Linked DNA regions of Drosophila melanogaster. The protein of the gene in region 1 interacts with the protein of each later gene in a pairwise test. Each region holds a gene or a part of one and is shown in the gene's direction. Other genes may lie near its edges. The genes, in order: CG14823 and CG34230.

Evidence for each region.
Region 2: the proteins of CG14823 (region 1) and CG34230 interact in a two-hybrid assay, tested with the Drosophila melanogaster proteins (one large-scale study listed by BioGRID).

The regions. Positions count from the first base shown.
Region 1 is NT_037436.4:7,064,158-7,070,087, forward strand, and holds CG14823 (uncharacterized protein), read left to right. Parts: upstream 1-2,156; 5' UTR 2,157-2,226; coding exon 2,227-2,569; coding exon of another isoform or gene 2,570-2,616; exon of another isoform or gene 2,617-2,703; coding exon of another isoform or gene 2,704-2,711; exon of another isoform or gene 2,712-2,810; intron 2,811-3,397; coding exon 3,398-3,622; intron 3,623-3,846; coding exon 3,847-4,070; 3' UTR 4,071-4,084; coding exon of another isoform or gene 4,085-4,249; 3' UTR 4,250-4,313; coding exon of another isoform or gene 4,314-4,463; 3' UTR 4,464-4,516; coding exon of another isoform or gene 4,517-4,642; 3' UTR 4,643-4,696; coding exon of another isoform or gene 4,697-4,841; 3' UTR 4,842-4,893; coding exon of another isoform or gene 4,894-5,042; 3' UTR 5,043-5,306; downstream 5,307-5,930. Other genes in the region: CG32391 (uncharacterized protein), read right to left, coding at 4,085-4,249, 4,314-4,463, 4,517-4,642, 4,697-4,841, 4,894-5,042.
Region 2 is NT_033778.4:11,859,583-11,862,642, forward strand, and holds CG34230 (uncharacterized protein), read left to right. Parts: upstream 1-1,727; 5' UTR 1,728-1,774; coding exon 1,775-1,883; intron 1,884-1,933; coding exon 1,934-2,019; intron 2,020-2,073; coding exon 2,074-2,206; intron 2,207-2,262; coding exon 2,263-2,324; 3' UTR 2,325-2,433; downstream 2,434-3,060. Other genes in the region: Mgtor (megator), read left to right, coding at 1-289, 348-481, 733-1,020; Twdlbeta (tweedlebeta), read right to left, coding at 3,037-3,060.

The DNA.
Region 1 (5,930 bases):
GGAAGTGGGTGGCAAAATCAGACCGGAAAGAGCCGTTACCGTTACCGCTGAACGGCAGCTTGCCGCCCACCATAATCGAGTGCACCAAGTGCTCGTACTCGCGTTCAGATTTCAGCTCATTTTCATTTTCCTTTCCCATTTTCGTGCATTTTCCGCGCGCGGAGAAAACCCGAAGGACGAGGTCTTAAATGCCAGCTCACAAAAGGAACTGGAGTGGAAAATTTGCAAGAAAAGAATTCACCGCATATTATTTCACATGCATGGCGACACCCTCATCCCATTCGTATCCCAAAAGCAATCCCAATCCAAACGGTATAAAGGCCATTTAGCCCAACCACTGGTAATTTTTCCATAATTGATTTTGGCTTGCGGTCTGGCTCGTCCTTTCATCTGGCCATGTGTTAGTCAGGGGCAGGAAACCCTCACGCACCCCCACACATACAAATGAGTTTTTGCCTTGGCCGTATGTGAAGAAAAACATACCGAAATGGGAAACGGAAACGCCTTGAGACAATGGCGACATTGGCGAGGCAATGTGGAAATGGCTGCTGTACAGAAAAACTGAAAGAATAATCAACTAAGTGACGGAGCATTTCTTTTATTTGCCGAGCACCTGTGCAGGATGTGTTCAGAGGCGTCCCCAAAAAAAAGGGACGATAGTTTTGGAAAAATTCTTAACGAATATTTGAGCATGCTCTGGCAAAAGAAGGAAATTATTTGCTTGTATATTTCTTTAAATAGGAAATGAACAACTTAAATAAATTCAAAGTCTTCTTTCCCATTTTAAAATCTTAAAATCTTTAATTTGTTTGATATTTTCGCAAAACATGGAATTCTTTTGTATTTACACTTTTGGAAGCAGTTTGTAAAAATTGTTTGAGTGCCAAAAGTCCAAGAATGCAAGGCGTGATTGGAAGGTGTCAACAACTTTGTTCTCATCTCAATGAAAAGTTTTCGAAAAATCTTTGCTGTCCCACTTGATAGCAAACAAACTTGATCGAAGATATTCTAGAAAAATAATATAAATAAATGGGAAGTAAACAGAGATTTGCAGCATTTTAGGATGCATTGCACGGGTACACCCACACTTTGCTGTTGACAGATTTCGATGGTCGTGAAGTAAGTTTGCGTATGAAGAAGTGGCACTTCAGGAGGCTTCGAGGACGTCCTGGTCACACCCCTTCTCGAAGGATGACGCTCCTTCCACTGGATACTGGTGCCACAAACGGCTGCTGTTGTTTGCTGCCCCAACTTTCGTTCCAATTTCGCCGCAAGAGTCTCAACAATTTCTCATATTTGTTTACAATTCGCGCATACAAATGCGCAAGGTTATCAGCAAAACCAGCCACCCAACCACCACCCATTTGGCAAATATCGCCACCCATTTCCCCCCTTTCAATGGACGGCTGCCATAAGTTGTCATGTCGCAAATGGAAGCGGAGTGTCACCGACACCCAATCTAAAGATACACGTGAAAAAATCAAATGAATATGTAATAAAATCAATAAAAACTACATACTGCTGAAATTTAAAAAAAAAATTATGTTCCATGTCACGAAAACATATGTATTAAATATATTAAACTATGCTTCCATGAAAAATTGTGCATACATTCAGTTCTTTATTAGAGCTGTTATAATTAATCAAATGCCAAAGAAATATAAGAGAATGAAATTAAAAATATACAAAGCTTAAAATTAAATGCAGATACCACATTTTTGATAATATTTTTATTCACTTTCTGAAATAATTTCAATCATATTAGTTTGAGTATTATGTGCAAAATAAGCACGGCTTGGTCGCCAATGCTGCCGAATATAGTACTTTTAAAATAAACTCACTACTTGTTTAAATTCGTGCCACTTTTAGGAATGAAACCACATGCAATTTAAACTTGTTGAGGTGTACAACTACTGATGTTCGGGAATTGGAGAAAAATCACCATGTTGAGCGCCACTTGAATGCGAGAGAAAAATCACCGAAATGCTGGAGGAATGGAGAACAAACGCTGGAACAGATTAGCTGGTCGGGGGAAAAAAAAACGCTGGGAATGTAGAAACCGCAATCGCCGGGCATCAATTACGCCGACAACATTGAGCGATAATCGAGGGGAGGTTATCTCGAGCAGCACCTGTAACTTGGTACCATGTACAAATGCCACAGAGTGTTCCAGCTATTCGCTTGGGTTAGTCGGTTTGCGATAGCAAAGGGAGAAGCCAGCTCGCCATGGAGCCCACATGCAGCAGCAGTGTGGCGGAATTGGCCAAATACAGTGAGGATGATGTGGAAACGGATGAGTCCAAGGTGGTGGAGCATCAGGAATATGCCGAAGCGCTGTCAATGTCCGGGGAAAGTCGTAAGCGGAAACGATGGACTCGAAGGTCCTGCTGCACTCGCCAAGTCCTGAGTACGGGCGCCATTTTCATCGCCCTTCTGCTCATCATCGGCGCCATTTACATGCACTTAAGACAGAAGCATCATCTGGGCCGACTGCACATCAATCTCAAGGATCGGGGGCAAGTGGAGGTCCTGGAGGAGGACTTTCCCATGGTCACCGCTGCGGGAGTGGGTGAGTGTGCCACAAGGACTCTTGTTCAATCGCTAAGAAGCTCTTAGACTTCGGTTAATTTTATAAGCGGTTTATATTGTTGGGATAGTGGTATTTTCTCTCTTTTTCTTTGTTTTGTTTTTTTTCTTTCCCAGCTGACTGATTAGAATTGCCATTAGATGAACCAGCAGATTTCAACGTTTCGAAATTATAGCGATAATAAATAAAAGCTTGTATTTATTACACAACAACTATGCAACGCGTGAGTTGTTTTTATTGTATATAAAAAATTTTAATCGATCATTTCAATAAGTGACAGTCATCGACAGTATGTCAAGCACGTAAAAGTTTGAGATTAAACTGTAAATAATAAATACACATCTGCTAAAGTTTGCCAGCATTCAATATAGATTTATAGTTTCTACATTCGCCTTAAGTTCGACTTGAAAACTTTAGTCTCAAACAATTATTTTTCCGACGGAAGACTTATATTTATTAAGTAACAGGAAGTTTGTAAACACCAAATGTGAACTCAATTTAAGTTTCGTTTAGCAACGTCCTCTGCACTTATAAGGCCAAAATATAGTCGGAACTATGTTTTACATCAATTTAAAGTTCATAAAAGTGCAGTTTAAAGTTGCTTCAGTAAATCTGCTAATAAAACATACTCAAAAAACTTTGCAACTAACGAGGAGAGTGCGGTTTAAACGTGAGGTCTAGGAGCTATTTACGTCCACGGGAACTATGGATAACTCACTGCCAACTATGCTGCATGCTGTTAGCCATATTGTGTGGTAAATAGTTTCGATTAAACGGCTAATTGGACCCTCTTTGGAATGCATTTTGCAGATGCCCAGACCTCGACGATAACAACATTCCAGCCGCCTCCGACATCCTCCCCAGAGCCCAGTGCCAAGTGCCTGGACTGCATGGCCACCACTGCCACGGATAATATTCCGGCAATCTGCAGGCACCGAGGACGACCAGAGGAGCCGTGCGGCATTTATCGCATCTCCCACGTCTACTGGCAGGACGCACTCCGGATAATTGACCCGGACGACTCACTCGCCCGGGGTAATGAATACACTGAGCAAAAATGTTTGGCAACAAAATTACAACAAGTCGAAAGCATAAGCCATTTCTCCATTTCTCTATTAATTTTAAATTTGCTTTTCATCTTCAGTTTCAAGATTTTGTTGTAAATTTCTTCATGTGTATCCTGTTGTTGCCAGGCTGCCACAAGCGTGTAATGTCCACCGACTAACCCTTTTTCCTACATCTCACCCTTCAACCCACAGACTACGGAAGATGCGTGGTGGATGTCCAGTGCGCCGAGCGTATTGTGCGTAGCTATGTGCAGCGATATGGTGGCGAGGATTGCAATGGAGACGGACGGATCGAGTGTCGGGATCATGTGAGGCTGCACATGAGAGGACCCGGCGGCTGCCGCAGGCAGGAGCCACTGGGGAGCCTGTCTGAGAGGAGATTGGAAAACTGCTTGAAATACAGGGGGATTACTTAAAACCGATTGTTCGTTTATTGTTTCAACTGCAGGCGATGCATTATGGGCCGCCAGTAGAGGGTTAGCACAAAGAGGCCTATGAACTCGTGGAACAGCAGCAGGGCGGCGAACTTGTCATCGAACAACTTGGTCGAGGCCCTTCTTCCGCCCATGATGCACTGCACATGATACATCAGGAACTGCAAGTGATTTGTGGTTATGCGGCAGACAGTTGCAGGCTGGTAAAATGCGAAAAATGCTTACCATCATCACCACACAGCCGATACAGAATGCGAAGAGATAAAATCCCCAGATCACGTCGAGAACCACATACAATACCAGGGAGTATATGCTCAGTGAGTAAGTGCCAGTTGCAAGGGCATATAGGTAGAGTCCGGTGCCTGTGAGGTCATACTTAGGCAAGATTTTGGTTGATTATTTAACATCCTTTATCTGTACTAGCTTACCGCCATTAAAGCAGCTATAAGTGTACATAACACAAATGCAAGGCTGACAATCAGAAATCCGGCAAGCATATAAAGTACTCCCGATGATATGATCAGCACACTGAGAGAAACTACCACACATTCCACCTTAATATGCTATGGGGTTACATTGTTAGGTAATTTAATTGTTAGAATACCCACGATAATAAACGTAATCAGCCAGTTGACACAGGACATTTTCCTTAGCGGCATACTTAGGGCAAACAGGAAAAGTAGGAAAATGCCAAATACAAAGGCTAGGAGCAATGCAGATGAGTGCTCGTTTACCAAGACCAGAAACCATTCGCTAGTAGTAATTACATAAATCATAAGTAAAAAAGTTATTATCCAAATCTTACTGCAGCAAGGTTAGCACCAGGATCCAGTGAACAAATCCTATCACAATGAAGACGCATAACTCCAGAATAACCTTTATGATATATCTTCGCCTATCATCCACAGATTCCGAGTGGAAAAACGGCCAGATGGTTATATCTGCCTCGAACATGGCAAAAGAAAAAATAGTTTGATTTTGGGCACCAGGCCGTCTGAGGCAAAGTAACTCTGAGATTCGTATAAAAAATTTACGCTATTCCCGGCATGGACACACTAATTGCACATCGAAATGGGCCGTCCAGAGCACAAAGTTAATGGGAGCGAATTAGAACAAACAATGACGACGATTCGGCGTACATAATTGAACTCGACAAAACTTTATAATCTGGCAGCATCGCGAACAAATTGAACAACAACTCGCAAGTGTGTAATAATTAAAAGTTTGCGCAAAATGTAGCGGACAAACAAGCGGAGGGGAGACAAAAGTTTTGGCGCAAGTTTTAAATCATTTAGCAGGGCCGGACTAATTGCTGCCATGTCGCATTAATTTGTTGCGACTGATAGCGGGCAAACAGTGCGTATGCGCAATGCATAAATTTATGATTTCCATCATGGCCTACCTAGGATTTGTCGGACTCTTAATCGCAGGATAAAGAGACTTATGGCATAGGTTTGCATATACTTATAATACAAATCTAAGAACTTTTTGTTAATTCATGATTCAACTTCAATGTTTATAAAGTTGGCAGAGTTTTAATACCGAGATATTTTTCTCTGTATTTTATATTTCACATTTAATTATTTTAGCCTTACCGACATCAATGCCCAAGTAAGTCGGCATTGTTTATCCCTAGGACGATGACGTTGATTTCTGCCTCGCCTGAGTCCTAATCTCTCGATTGCATGACAAGTGTACATAACTTTATTCAATCAAATGTGCAAATAGCGCATGTTGCAAACAGAAATAGTCCAAATGAGCAGACAATATGCGGCATAGACAATCCGATAAGAAGCGACTCAGACTCGCGATTCGTGTTCATTAGTTATTGTCGATATTGAG
Region 2 (3,060 bases), on another chromosome or scaffold:
GAGCAACCTGCCCGCTTGGAGTCCGCTGAAGTCGATGGCACCGCCGAGGTGGCCGGAGGCGCGCCTCATGAAAGCGCAGGCCCCAGCGATACGGGAGCTGCCTCGGCCAGTTCTCCGCAAAAACAGAGCGAGGCAGGGGAGAGCAGCGGAAGCGACGCCCTTAAAGCTGCTGACGATGGTGGTGATCATGCTGACGGAACAGATAACGCCAGAGAAGCAGATGAGGCATTCGCCGAGGAGACAATGGCTACTGGCCAAGGAGAAGACTCTCAGCCGCTAGGAAATGATAGTATGTTATAATAAATAGTGTAAATGGATTGGAAAACTAAGCACTCAATTTTATCCAGATCCAAATGTGGGCACTAGCCAATCGGAGGTGTCCCACAACCAAGCCAATCTTGGCGAGGGAAACCCCACCGAGGACAGCGAGGGAGCCGACGGCGTCTCCTCCGAGGGTGAAAAGCAGGCGGTGGGTGTTGAGGTAAGTAGTACTTGCATTGGTGGCAAGATAGCTGTGGAGAAAAGCAGGTTGGTCCCGATGAGACCCTGCATGGAAATACGTTGCTTTGAATGTAATTAACCCCATGGGATATGATTTGTAGTTCACCCCACTTATGGAGTGCATGGAATATTAAATACTGAAGAATGGATGTAATGTTTCTGTTGTAATCCAAACCAAGACCAATCTGCACCAACTGAATCCTAAATTGATTGCTCTCCATTTCTTTTTAGGAGGAGGGTCGGGAGGCGGAGGCCACTTCACCGTCGGAGAACACGCGATTTCGCACGCTGCGTAGTGCGGTGCCCACCCGACGAGGACATCGCGCCATGAGGGGTGGCAGTCCCAACAGCCAGAACCGTCCGCAGCGGATTGTCTGGCAACGGGACACGTCGCCGGGAAACATTCAGCAAAACCAGATGTCAGCCAATAACAATCGCTTTGCGCAACGGACCCGCAACCGTCGTCCCATTCGTCGTCCGCCTCCAAACAACTTCAACAACGGAGGACGATTCCCCTAGGGCGAGGAGTTCGGCGGACCCGCAGACGAAAGTCCGCTGTAGGCTGACTATAAAATCATTGCGTTTACTGGGCTAGAAATAAGTCTCCTCGCATTTAAAAGCGCTTAGGCTAGGATGAGCCACAAATACATATTACTCTACATTCTCCAGCTTGCGAGTCCTGAGTTTCTGCAGTTGACAAGATGCAAAGAGCTTTGGTTCTTGTACATTAACTTTGCTATAGAGTTTTTAATAAATATATGTGTAATTTTGTCGATATTTGATGCACCTTTCTGGGCAAGGATTTCAAACTGCTGTTACCCCAGCACTACAAAGTGGTTTACTCCCTGAATAAGTTGCCTCATTCTAGTAGTGTTATAACGCATTAAGATGTAGTTTTCCCCTCTTTAAACCATATTTCTTAGACTTTAAAGTATTTTAAAGAATTTCCACTAATGTTTTTGATATTCAAATGAATGTAAAAGATAATAATATTACAGTATTTAAACAAATCAATTAATTTAGTTTGATAACGTGTTCGATTAAAATCGCACTAGTTCTAATGTGAAATATAGACCACCGATTGCACTGCACTTTGGTGGCATTGACCTTAATTGGTCTAAGCTACGCAAGCCGATTAATTATGCAGCAAGCATTGGAACATGAAACGTGCTCCGAATTAAAGACTTCATCATAATTACCTGCTATTGTAAGTCAGTTGGCCAGGCAGTTCGTATCCGAAATTGGCTTAGAAACCCCCCAAAAAGAAACGAAAATGATCTACTCGGACAATTGCTGTTGCTGCGTGGATCTGAAGTGCGGAAGCATCCTGATAGCCATCGTTGAGGTGCTAATACGTGGACTAGATCGCTTCTTTGTTGATCGTGAGTGGTCCTGAGCATAGGAATAGCTAAGATATAACTGGCTTTCTTAGGTGACAGCCTGCTGGGACTTTTTTCCCTTGTGGTGAGCGGTATCTACGTTATCTGCTGCATTTTTCTACTGCTGGGAGCAGTTCTGGTAGGGATCCGTAATATTTTGGTTGGTGGACAATATAAAGCTGTCTAATTACAGGGCCTGAGATATTTTCTGTTGCCTTACCTCTCAGTTTCCTGCCTGCGGTTCTTCATTTTAGTTGCCGAGGGCGTGTTTGTAGCCACAGAGGGCATCATGAATGAATATCTAGTTTTCGATATTCTTCAATCCCGTAAGTTGCATTCAATATTTCGGCACAATGTTCAACTTGGCCAAATCCTTTTCCAGTTCTAGGCTTGTACTTTTGGCTGGTGGTCTACTCCTATTATGATCGCTTAAAGGACGCGTGAGCTTGTAAATTTTACAGTATATTGTTAAATATTGGTCCTTATAAAATTTATTCTTTCAATGTTCTATCATTTTGGATATAAAATAAAGTAATTTATAACCTTTTTTGGCAAACATATAGTATATTTGGAAATTATCTAACCATAATATCTTCAATTTCCGGTCAATTTTTACTTTCTTTTTCTGCAACATCTTGCAATAATGATAAATATTTTTAACGCTTTACATACATTTTTAACAATTTTAAGGGAAATCCATGTTGTAATCCATTGTTCAATGCGCTTTTGCAATCTTGACCTAAGTAACCAAATAAACAAATTGAAAGTTGAATATTGTATTCGACGTTAATAACGAGTAATGCATAATTGAGCAATATAAATTATTGCTTTCCCAATTATCGGTACCCAATAACTTGCGCAGTAACCTCATTTGTATTCAATGCGTGCTCCTGGTAAATAAAAAAAATATCGAGTGCCTTTGTTAAGATGCACTGATTGATGATCGTATCTCAAGATTTCTGGATCCGCAACGAATGGAGCGCTCATGACTTCAAGGTAGTAATATGAAATACTGTAACCGCTATAATAATTTTTTCATCAATATCCCAAGGACTTTAAGATCCGGCTGATTTTGCTTTCTCTAAACTCTCTTTAATGGCAGCGATCATAAATAATATTTACATTCATGGGCTGTAGACCTAGACGACACTACAAACTAGAACTGCTCGACGGTGCGGGG